3 linked regions of the Macaca fascicularis genome follow. The protein of the gene in region 1 purifies or fractionates together with the protein of each later gene. This does not show direct contact. Links are inferred from orthologs where the notes say so. Each region holds a gene or a part of one and is shown in the gene's direction. Other genes may lie near its edges. The genes, in order: KDM5A, MORF4L2 and ZMYND8.

Region 1 (3,749 bases):
TGATATTTAATCCTTCATATTTATTTAAATAAATATTATTTATTATTATTTAAATAAATATTATTTAAATAAATATGAAGGAGGAGTTCACAGTTCACAGATTTGCTCAGCCTAATCCTTCATATTTATTTAAATGAAGGATGAGTAGAAATTTAGGAAGGGGATATAATGATACAAATGATTTTGGGTCAGCAGAGTACAAAAATGTTCTGGACAGAGGAAATATGTGTGATGGCTCAGAGGTGAGAAAAATCATGGTGTACTAAAGTCACAACAAAGACTTCTGTAGATCATATGGAGAAGCAGTAGAGATGAAGCTGGAGAGTAAAGCAGCAAATCAGCAATTAAAAAAGATGTTTGGAGTTGTTGAGTTTGGAGATGAAAAGTGACAAGATGAATTCTGGATTTTAGACAAAGCAATCCAACTTGAGAATGGAGAGGAATTTCAGAGGAGAAAAGAAATGAGCTGTTGTCAGTAAGAGTATTTAAATTAGGATACTGGTAACAAGGATGGAGAGACACACGATTATACATGGGAAGTGAGAGCAGAAAGCATGAGGACTATTTCTTGATTGTTTTTTTTTTTGCCTCAGGCAACTGAATAGATGAAGGTATTAATGAAACCAGGAACACTGAAGAAATAGTGACCAATTAAAGTACTTTGAGTTATCAGAGTGAGATGTCCTGTAGGTAGCTAGACAGTACTGGCTGGTAATTCAGAAGAGCTGCTGTGTTCTGTGTAAAAGGAAAAGCAATTCCTGGATGGTGGCTAAAGCCAGCTGGCAGGATTTAGGGGATGGGTTAGACCTGCACTTGTTTTCCTGGAGAAGAGGCGGCTATAAAGTGGCAGAGTGAGATTACTGTAAAATACCTGCATTCAAAGGGCTAAAAAAAAGAGAAATGCTGGAACGGCTACTTGCTAGAAACGCAGCAGGGTAGGTTAAAACAAATCACGAAGCACGGGCGGCGAGGCTGGGGGGCTAACGCTAAGCCCTGCGTGATTTCGACTACACCGACACACAAAAGGGAAAGGGACCCTCCTCACCGGAAGCACAACCTCTGCCCTCTGGGGCATTACACATTCCTCCGCGCCGGAAGAACACGTCGCGCCTCGCCTCGCCCCGTCGGCCTGGCTCTGTCCCCACCTCTAGTGAAGGAGAGATTGCGCCTCTCCCCGACCCCCTACCCAGGGCGAGCCGCGTGGAGTCGTTGGACTGGGCAGAACTTTGGCAGGCAAGGAGAGAAACAGCCACACCGGGCTGCCGGGCAAGAGAAGAAGGAGGAAGGGCCAGATACCCGGGCGTCGCGCCGCTGCGGAAGGATTCCGTTTCCTGCGGGGGCGGAGGGATTTGACAGCACAGTAACTTCCGGAGAAGTCCTGACCCTCAGAGGAAAAGCCTTGCAAGAAACAATAACAAACGGGAGGAGGAAGCGGTTCTGGGGTGTCTGTGTTGAGCGGTTCTTTTCCGCGAAGATGCGCTTCGGCCCCAGTCAGGGGACGTGAACGGGCTCAGTGGGCTTCAGCCAGCTTTTCTCCACCGGTTCCCCACGGGGACCCCCCCCCCGGCCGCTGCAATGGCGGGCGTGGGGCCGGGGGGCTACGCGGCCGAGTTCGTGCCGCCCCCGGAGTGCCCCGTCTTTGAGCCGAGCTGGGAGGAGTTCACAGATCCGCTCAGCTTTATCGGCCGCATCCGGCCTTTGGCGGAGAAAACCGGCATCTGCAAAATTCGGCCGCCCAAGGTACCTCAGTCTGTGGAGAGAGAGGGGGAGAAGGAAGAAGGGGGGAGTCCGTGCACTGGGTTTAGCCTTACTTTTCCGATCCTTCTCTCCTTTCGTATGTACTCTCCTTTATGTTGAGACAACCGGAGCCTGTTTCTGGATGTTTCTGCTTCGGTTTCTTTTGTGGTCTTATGTAGACACGTCTGAATGCGAGAAAGTGGTGTCTCTGGGGTCTTCCGCCTAGAACTTGGGAACTGATACTTTTCTCTCCGCTGTGGGCCTAAAGCCCTTCGTTAGCCAATATGAGGTTTAATTAAAGTACATTCTTCCCTCACGTATCCTCATTATGGTTTGATAGTCGGCTATCTCTATTCAAGACCTGATTGGATCAAATATTTGCAGGCCTCCTCTCAGGGCTAGGGTTTCTGAAAAGGTAATCTGAGCTCTAGTTCCACCAGATGGTATTATAGACATAGAACTCCAGACTAATCATTGCTGCAGTGAGAAAGTCTTACCGGGGAAAGAGGAGCAGCAATAATTCTAAAATTGAGAGGTTTAGGAAGAATTCATCTATAATGGAGGCGGGAGGAAATGTTGAAATCTCTTGACATAGGGAACTCAAGATCAACGATTTTAGAATCACAGTTATTGCAGATAACTAGGTTTGCCTATAAGGTTAATTATAATCTCAACATTGAGGTAAGGAAAGTAGGTACTATCCCTTGTGTGGAGGGGATTAATGCCCCAAGAGATTGAGTGAGATGCTCAAGGTCAAAAGGTGTTTTTCTTTACTCATTAGATCAGTGCTTTTTAAATGCTGTTGCGGGACCACTTGCACCTGGGTCAACTGGATGCTTATTTAAATGCAGATCTCTAGGCTTCTTGTGGAAGTTCTGGAATCTGCTTTTCTAGCAACTAGTCTCAGATGATTCTTCATGTAAGTTGAGGTTTTCGAACCATTGCTTTAGTCATTGCTTCTTAAAGGCATTTTGCTTTATGTTTTGTCTAGTATTGGTAATGATAAAATATTAAGCACTGTTAACCAGTGTTGCATTTTAAAAAGCATCTGCCGTCACCACTGACTACCACAGTGATAGGCACCGCAGCGAATTAAAAACTTAAATGACAGCGAGGAGGAGCTAATTTAACACCTATAGATTGTTTGCTTTAATCTTTGAAGCCCTGATAGGTAAATGAAGTCCACCTTTTACAGATAAGATTAATCTGGATAAGTTAAAACACCAGATGGGTTATCTTGGGCAAGTGGCAAAGTATATTTTGAACCTAGATCGGTTTTTCTGATTCTGAAACAGACATAATGCTCCATGTAGAATGAGTTTAAGGTTATAGACTATTCGTTGCAAGCAGAGGATTAACAAATAATTGCTGTGATGATATGCATTGCCATCCTCCAAAAACTTCCATTTAACCCTTTTTTTCTATCATAATTACCTAATATTAACAAATCTTAAGCATTGAAGGTTTTCCTAAGTCGTATTTTCATCTACTCTTGAATTTATTAATTAGAAATTCTATTCACGGTTACTTCGATTAAAAAAAAAGTTTTTTTTAACTTAAAAAATGTTGAAATAATGCTTTCTCTTTTTTTTTTTTTTTTTTTTTTTGAGACGGAGTCTCGCTCTGTCGCCCAGGCTGGAGTGCAGTGGCGCGATCTCGGCTCACTGCAAGCTCCGCCTCCCGGGTTCACGCCATTCTCCTGCCTCAGCCTCCCGAGTAGCTGGGACTACAGGCGCCCACAACCGCGCCCGGCTAATTTTTTGTATTTTTAGTAGAGACGGGGTTTCACCGTGGTCTCGATCTCCTGACCTTGTGATCCGCCCGCCTCGGCCTCCCAAAGTGCTGGGATTACAGGCGTGAGCCACCGCGCCCGGCCAATGCTTTCTCTTTTTATGTCACATTATTGAAAATAAATCTTGTTTACAATCAGAATTTAATTTTAGTATTGGCAAATTTCTTTAGTTTCCAGGCTGGAGTGCAGTGGCACGATCTTGGCTCACTTCTGCCTCCAC
Region 2 (3,749 bases), on another chromosome or scaffold:
CACATCTTGTGAACCACTGCTCTAAAAAAATCCCTCTTGTGTACAAGTATATAAGATAGATAATTGAAAGGGGTATGATTTTTGTTGTTTGACTTTGATCTAGTACTGCTCATCTAATAAGGACTTGGTGATAAATTTAAAAAAAAATCGACATGAAGGATATAACACAGCATCTAAAATATAGAAAGCATACAAAAAACTGAGGATCACAGAACATAAATCATTTGCCCAGGGTACTGAGACTAGTAAGTGGTGGAATGAGGTTAACAATTAAGTCTCTTTCTCTCACTCCAAAGACACAATAAAATCTACCAATACCACTACAGAAAATAGGGTGCAAACACACATATCTGATACAAATTTCAAGAGAAAAGGAAAATCAGTTTTCTTTTTTTTTTTTTTTGAGACGGAGTCTCACGCTGTTGCCCAGGCTGGAGTGCAGTGGCGCGATCTCGGCTCACTGCAAGCTCCGCCTCCCGGGTTCACGCCATTCTCCTGCCTCAGCCTCCTGAGTAGCTAGGACTACAGGCGCCCGCCACCGCGCCCGGCTAATTTTTTTGTATTTTTAGTAGAGACGGGGTTTCACTGTGGTCTCGATCTCCTGACCTTGTGATCCGCCCGCCTCGGCCTCCCAAAGTGCTGGGATTACAGGCTTGAGCCACCGCGCCCGGCCTTGGAAAATCAGTTTTCAATACCAGGGTCCAAGTTTTACTGATGAGTTCTTATCTCTTTACTAAAGTAACAGCTATCTGTATTTTCAGTTTGGGTGAGTTGCGAGCATTTGAAAAGTTGAGGAAAAAGGGTTAGGATCTTCAGCATCAGTGCTTGGGTCATTCATTAACTCTTTGATTAAACAAGGCAAGGACAAAAGAAGCGAGGGATGGAGAGGGGCCTTCCCCCCCGCCCCCCCACCCAAGGAGAAAAGGAAAGAAATGAGTAAAATTATTTGGATCTTGGGTCACAGTTCCCTGCCTACTAGTGCTATTCACAGAAGCTGATTTTATTTTTTCCTAGGAATGAACGATATCAATGATGCCTTAGATATTAGCGTTCAGCAAATCAAGAAAGGGGAGGGGGGAGGGAAACAAAATCCCAGAATCCCAGGGACCACACAGCCAATCCTTTGCTGGGATTTGGCGGCATCTAGTGGCGAACTCGAGAGGTATAAACCTTACCCACAGAACTTTCTGGAAAATTAACAGTGCGTATTTGCCTGAAGAAGGTCAGTGTGCTTGCTTGGAGATCAGAACGCAAAGGTAAGAGCGCCCTAGTCACCATAAAAATCCGGAGTCTCTAACGGAGGGGAAGGCTGTCATAGATAGATATTCTCATAGGAAAATTGTATTTGTGCCAAGAGAACTGCACGCAACCTTGAAGGGAGGGGGGAGGTGTGGAAGAGGGGAGGGAGGAGGATACTAGACAACTTGAAAGAAGTCTCCCTTTGGAGTTGCTAATGTGACGATGGAAGGCTTTGGCTCTGAATCATTGGAGGGCTGTGGTTTACGACCGGATTTTGGCACAGAGGAGTATTTAAATCAGGGAAAGCCAAAATATTTCTGACAGTGCCCCTTTATCTCTGTTATTGTCGCCTTGCCTTAATTATTTATTTTCCTTTTCATTAGAACATTTTCAAACAAAATACAGAAATAGATAACCTGCGCGCAGTAGCTAACCCCTCCCCGCAACTCCCACCCCAATCACGCACGCGGGCGCGCGCCGTGGCTCTCACCAGTCCAGACGCCAGGGGCGCACGCCTGCGCAAACACATCACCTCCAGCGCCACGAGGGCCGCTCACACAGCAACCCCAGGGGCACTCGAGCCTGCCCGCGCACTAACACACTGGCCTTAATGCCTTGCGCCCGTTGCACTCACGACCCTAACTCGCAAACACAGCAGAACCCCCCACTGCGCCTTTTTTTTCCATGTTCGGGGAGTTGCGCCACAGGCCTGGGGGCGTGGCTCCAGATTTGACCTCGCGCTTCCCCACTCGCGGGAACCTTAGCTCATTTCCGCCTATTTCCGCAGGCCACGTAGACACTTCCTCTCCCAGTGGGGGGCTGGGGGGAAACACAAACCCATAATGCCTCCCTGCAGGAAAAAAATTAAAAAAAAAAAAAAAAGGAAAAGGAAAAAAAAAAAAACCTTCTGGTCAGAGGAACTCTGGGTCGTGAAATAGGCCACGTGAACATTCTGCCCTATAGACTTATGACCCAACGGCTGTCACGCTTTTGGAGGGCGGGCTAAAAACCTAAGAGGGCGAACGTCATTGGCCGGAACGCGCACTGACGGAGGAAGAGGATTGGTTTGCTGTAGGCCTTAACAGTGAAGAAGCAGGTTGCTAGCACCCGCCTTTACTGCGGCGAAGTGTCATTGCTGACGTGGGGGTGGTTGTCCAATCATTTGGTTATGGAACATTCTAAAACTTAGACAAGACGATTGTGATTGGCTGAAGGGCATACGCCCTCCTCCAGGGTGACGTGTCTGCCTATGGATATCAGTTGCCAGAGAAACCTGGCTTTACTATGGCGGTTGGAGGAACGGCAGTGATCACACGTCGTCTGCTGGGAAGATCTGGATTCTCGTTTCAGGTTTCGGGGTGGGGGTGGGGAGAAAGGGTCGATGATTTCCTCTTTTCGTCGGGTATAGACGGGATTAGCTAGTTCCTTCACAATCGGTCAGAGCTGGATTCAGATTCCTGCTCGCCAACGCCCAGCTTGGGCAAGGCTCCTGTTCTTTCTGTGTCTCGGTTTCCATGTTTGTAAAATGGTGATAATAATAGTATCTACCTCAGAGACGTGTACTGTATAATGGTGCGTATAAGGCACGTAATATGAAGCCTGGCCCCTGAAGATATTAGCTATTGTTATGGAGATAAATAATACACGTAATAGAATGAGAAAAATTATAAATTATATAAATTCGCTAATTGTAGTGCCCTTTCTGCCATCAACTTCTTTCCTAGAATAAATTAAAGATAAAAGAGATATATCAATTTTTACCAATGAAATAATTTGCTCTTTGGGAATTGCCTCAAAATTGCAGAGATTGTAATTTTCCCATGTTGAAAAGTTAAATAAAAGGTGGGGGGGTGGAGTGCGAGAAAGAAAGAGATGGAGAACGAGAGCGAGCTGGAGATGAACCACATGCGATGAGTAGGCCTTGTTTGGATCCTGAATCGAACACACCAACTGTAAAAATATGTTTAAGACGCATCGGGAAAATTGGAACATGGATTCGATATTTGATGTTTTTTAAGGAATTGATGTCAATTTTTTTAGGCGTCACAGTAGTATTGTGATTATGTTTTCAAATTGTCCTTTTTTGTAGAGACATATACGAAAATATTTACGGATTAAATAATATAATGTCTGGGATTGGCTTCTAAATACATTAATGACTAGGATTTGCTTCAAAATAATCTAAGCGGTAGGGGGAAATGGGGAGGGGTATAGATGAAACAAAATTGACCCTAAATTAATAATAGTTTTTGCTGAGTGATAGGCAGTGGGTTCCGTATATTAATCTGCTTTCCTTGGTATACGTTTAAATTTTTGTATAATAAAATACAGAAGTCAGATATTCCCGTGAGCTTGAAAAAGTCGGGGGTGGGGGGGAGCAGTGGGTGGGGTTATAGATGAAACAAGATGGCCTTCAGTTGGTAATTGTTGAAAGCTGGATGATGGATTCGTGTAGGTTTGTAATACTATTCTTTTATTTCATCCATTTGAAATTATCTTTAAGGAAAAGT
Region 3 (3,649 bases), on another chromosome or scaffold:
TGAGATTGAATATCTGCCCGTAACCTTTGTCTTTGGAGGGTCCCTACTGGTGTTGACTTCCACACACTGAGCCATCTGGCTGGGATTGTCCATTTTAAATATTGAAAGTCACCCAGACGATTGTTCAGTGGACTGTTTAAACCTGCCAAACATGTTCACGCGGGCCATTATCTTCATGTCACCCCATGTGGTTGAGCAGATGATATTGTTGGGACGAATGACAAAAAAAGTATCCCCCCTCCCCATGTTCTAAAATGTGTGTTTTGCTCTGACTTTGCAAGGACAAAGCTCTGTGATGAGCATGGTGTGTGCCTGGTCTTACGAGGGTGTGATGGTCTCTTTCAGATCGAAGCAAAGCCGAAATGGATTTGAAGGAGCTGAGCGAGTCGGTCCAGCAACAGTCCACCCCTGTTCCTCTCATCTCTCCCAAGCGCCAGATTCGTAGCAGGTTCCAGCTGAATCTTGACAAGACCATAGAGAGTTGCAAAGCACAATTAGGTATATCTTTGGTTTTTTTTTTTTTTTTCCCAGCAGTATCATTGTTACCATTACTGGTAGGGATACTACCCTGATGAAATCAAGGTTGAATCCTGGCTGCTTTTAGCAGCTGCTTTAACTTTGAACGATTTGCTCAGCTAAAATATATTTCCACTCATGGCAAAAGACTTCAGACTTGATAGTTAATTCGGGGCTCTTTGAACTCATCAGTTTATTCTTTGGTGAAAGCAGCCTGGAAACTCAAGATACAGGTTTGAAGCATCAAGGTTTACGAGCAGAATGAGGATCTTCTGAGTTTGCCTCTGCTCTCCTTCTCAGTACACATCAGTGTCTCCACACGAGTAGTCAGTGTGTTCTGCAGGTGTCCGACACGAAACCCTTTCCCTCCAGACTGGTCTCCTCCCTACCTGGTAAACCCTGCTTCTGTAGCTGTTGCCTTCCTTCCTCTTCCCTGTGCTGCCTGCCTTCATACTGCCTACCTGAATCCTGCCTTCTGTGAGGCTGAGCTCAGATCTCACCTCCTCCAGGAAGTCTTCCCTGACTGCCCTCCCCATCTGCCCTCCTCCTTTGGTACTTTATTGCTCAGAAGTAGCAACGTTCCCTTTGTGTGGAGGTGTCCCTCCCAATCTAGACTGGAAGCTCCTTGAGGGCAGGGAGGCTGTTTTATGAGGATTTGCCTTCTCTATGGTACTTGGTCTGTGCACATGGTAGATGCTCTGGAATGTTTGTTGAATAAGTAAGTAAAGCTAGGAGGGCATTTGTAAAGAAGTTAGGGATGGCTGGGCCCCTAGAGAGCAAGTTTCTCTGAGCATCTTCAGGTGAGAAAGCAGCTAGAGTTAGGGACCATCTGGGGCTGTCCAGAGGACACCACTTCCCATTGGGTTGCCTGTTTGGTGAGGACATTGGGTGGCATGGGTGAAATTTGGCATGCCATTTAAATTATCCTCTTGGGTCCTTCCATGCAGCTGGTCCAGCTCTTGATTTATTTTTATTGCTAATAAGAATTGTATTATTTCTATTTACTGAGTGTTTCCTTTGACACTATGCTAAGCACTGCATATAGATCGTCTTGGGAGGTTGATACTTTATCAGTCCCATTTTGCAGATACAGAAACTGAGGCTCAGAGAGATAAATAACTTGTTCAGGGTCAACCAATAATAAAAACAGAAGAGCAGGATTTGAATTCATGTCCTTTGGACTCCAGTACCCAAGCTTTTCCTATCACATATGTGGTTACACTTTTCGTTCTTGTTTCCAATCATTAGCTACCAGTAGCGCAAGCCTAGGATCCCAGACTTATACCAGATCTGGGTGTTTGTATTTTGGCTTGTGTTCTTCCCGTGTTGCCCTGGCTAGCCTTGAACTCTTGGGTTCAAGCAGTTCTTCTGCTTCAGCCTCCTGAATATCTGGGACCACAGGTGCACACCATTGTGCCTGGCTGGACTTGTGTTTTTGATTGAACCCTGGTGGAGGCAGATATATTCCCCAGTGATCCTGCTGATCCCCCATGCCCTGGGCTGTTCATGGCTCTGATACTTTTGCAGGTTTCTTTTTGGTGTGTCTGGGTCGGACAGTGGCACCATTCACAGTGGCCATTGCTCTGGAATGAAGAGATTGCACAGACTTGATTGGGTTTTCTTTCCTCTTTCCAAAAGTTTAGGATATAGTATTATCTCCTACAGTATGATGGCATAACATATGGTTGGGAGCAGGAGCCATAAATGGGTTAAATGGAACTATTGTTAGAAATGTGCTTTTGCCCATTTTGTTTGTGAAATACCTGCTAGTTTGTGCTTCTCCCTTTTGAAAGAAACAGAAGTATGTGACTTTTCTCCTGACTCCTTTACCAGTGGAAGAGCAGTGCACACCGAGTGGCAGTTGACTTTCCACATGAGTGCAGGGAACAAGAGAGAGGGCCGGGCACCCGGGTCACCTGGAGACAAGTGTGTCCCCTGCCTAGTGGAGCGATTGGCTTTCCTGTCCCAGCCAATGCCTGGCAGGCCGGTGACCCAGAGCAGCTAGATTTTCTGCTCTTTCATCAGAAGCCCCTGCTTTGATTTCTATGTGAAATTTCCTCATTTGTGAATTGGACAACACATTTATAAATTAAAAGCAGACAAGATACCCTGTGGAGCAAACCAGTGCCTCTCCCATGAAACATGTCTGCAAGCTAGATGTGGCTTGTGGGCTGTTTGCAACCTCTGCTTTAAGGCTTTGGCTTATTTTCTTTGGCCTAGACACAAAGGATCAAGAACTTTAACGCTTTGGAAACCCAAGGGAAGAGTGTTGGTGGGGAGCCACGAACGCAGGGTACTGGCCTGGCCTCTGTCTTGTGTCCTAGGGCAGGTGATATCCCTGGGCCTCTGTTTTCTAATCTGTAAACTGGATCAGTTTGAACAGCTTATCCCTGCTGTTCCCTTCCAGCCCTCTCATTCTCAGTAATCCCAATTAGTTATCAACGTTGCGAAAATTTGGCACCACATATTTAGCGCCATATAAATTTAAAATTTCTGTTGGTAGGTCCTGTGTCTCCTTTGAATGTTAACACCCAAAACCCTCTCCAAAGGCAAGTGCAGCCACAGCCAGTTGCCACTTGGGTTTATTACTGGCCCCATTCAGGCCAATGTGATATGATTTGAAATGTGCTTTTCTTATTCCAGCATTTGCTGTGGAAAGTGTTTGCATTTTTCGTCCTGCTCTTTATTTTGTGACTACGCCACATGCTGGGTTTTCTTTTTGAATTTAGGCATAAATGAAATCTCGGAAGATGTTTATACGGCCGTAGAGCACAGCGATTCGGAGGATTCTGAGAAGTCAGATAGTAGCGATAGTGAGTATATCAGTGATGATGAGCAGAAGTCCAAGAACGAGCCAGAAGACACAGAGGACAAAGAGGGTTGTCGGATGGACAAAGAGCCATCTGCTGTTAAAAAAAAGCCCAAGCCTACAAACCCAGTGGAGATTAAAGAGGAGCTGAAAAGCACATCACCAGCCAGCGAGAAGACAGACCCTGGAGCAGTCAAGGACAAGGCCAGCCCTGAGCCTGAGAAGGACTTTTCTGAAAAGGCAAAACCTTCACCTCACCCCACAAAGGATAAACTGAAGGGAAAAGATGAGACGGATTCCCCAACAGTCCATTTGGGCCTGGAC

The links.
Region 2: the proteins of KDM5A (region 1) and MORF4L2 purify together in Homo sapiens (affinity purification with mass spectrometry; 4 studies listed by BioGRID and IntAct, with this or other methods). This does not show direct contact. The link is inferred for Macaca fascicularis from reciprocal best matches to the Homo sapiens genes KDM5A and MORF4L2.
Region 3: the proteins of KDM5A (region 1) and ZMYND8 purify together in Homo sapiens (affinity purification with mass spectrometry; 3 studies listed by BioGRID and IntAct, with this or other methods). This does not show direct contact. The link is inferred for Macaca fascicularis from reciprocal best matches to the Homo sapiens genes KDM5A and ZMYND8.

Annotation. Positions count from the first base shown.
Region 1 is NC_088385.1:1,144,852-1,148,600, reverse strand, and holds the start of KDM5A (lysine-specific demethylase 5A), read left to right. Parts: upstream 1-1,387; 5' UTR 1,388-1,575; coding exon 1,576-1,740; intron 1,741-3,749. UniProt on the Homo sapiens protein: Histone demethylase that specifically demethylates 'Lys-4' of histone H3, thereby playing a central role in histone code. Does not demethylate histone H3 'Lys-9', H3 'Lys-27', H3 'Lys-36', H3 'Lys-79' or H4 'Lys-20'.
Region 2 is NC_088395.1:110,058,437-110,062,185, reverse strand, and holds the start of MORF4L2 (mortality factor 4-like protein 2), read left to right. Parts: upstream 1-1,197; 5' UTR 1,198-1,256; intron 1,257-1,729; exon of another isoform or gene 1,730-1,744; intron 1,745-2,520; exon of another isoform or gene 2,521-2,589; intron 2,590-3,749. UniProt on the Homo sapiens protein: Component of the NuA4 histone acetyltransferase complex which is involved in transcriptional activation of select genes principally by acetylation of nucleosomal histone H4 and H2A.
Region 3 is NC_088384.1:103,300,956-103,304,604, reverse strand, and holds part of ZMYND8 (MYND-type zinc finger-containing chromatin reader ZMYND8), read left to right. Parts: intron 1-345; coding exon 346-498; intron 499-3,245; coding exon 3,246-3,649. UniProt on the Homo sapiens protein: Chromatin reader that recognizes dual histone modifications such as histone H3.1 dimethylated at 'Lys-36' and histone H4 acetylated at 'Lys-16' (H3.1K36me2-H4K16ac) and histone H3 methylated at 'Lys-4' and histone H4 acetylated at 'Lys-14' (H3K4me1-H3K14ac).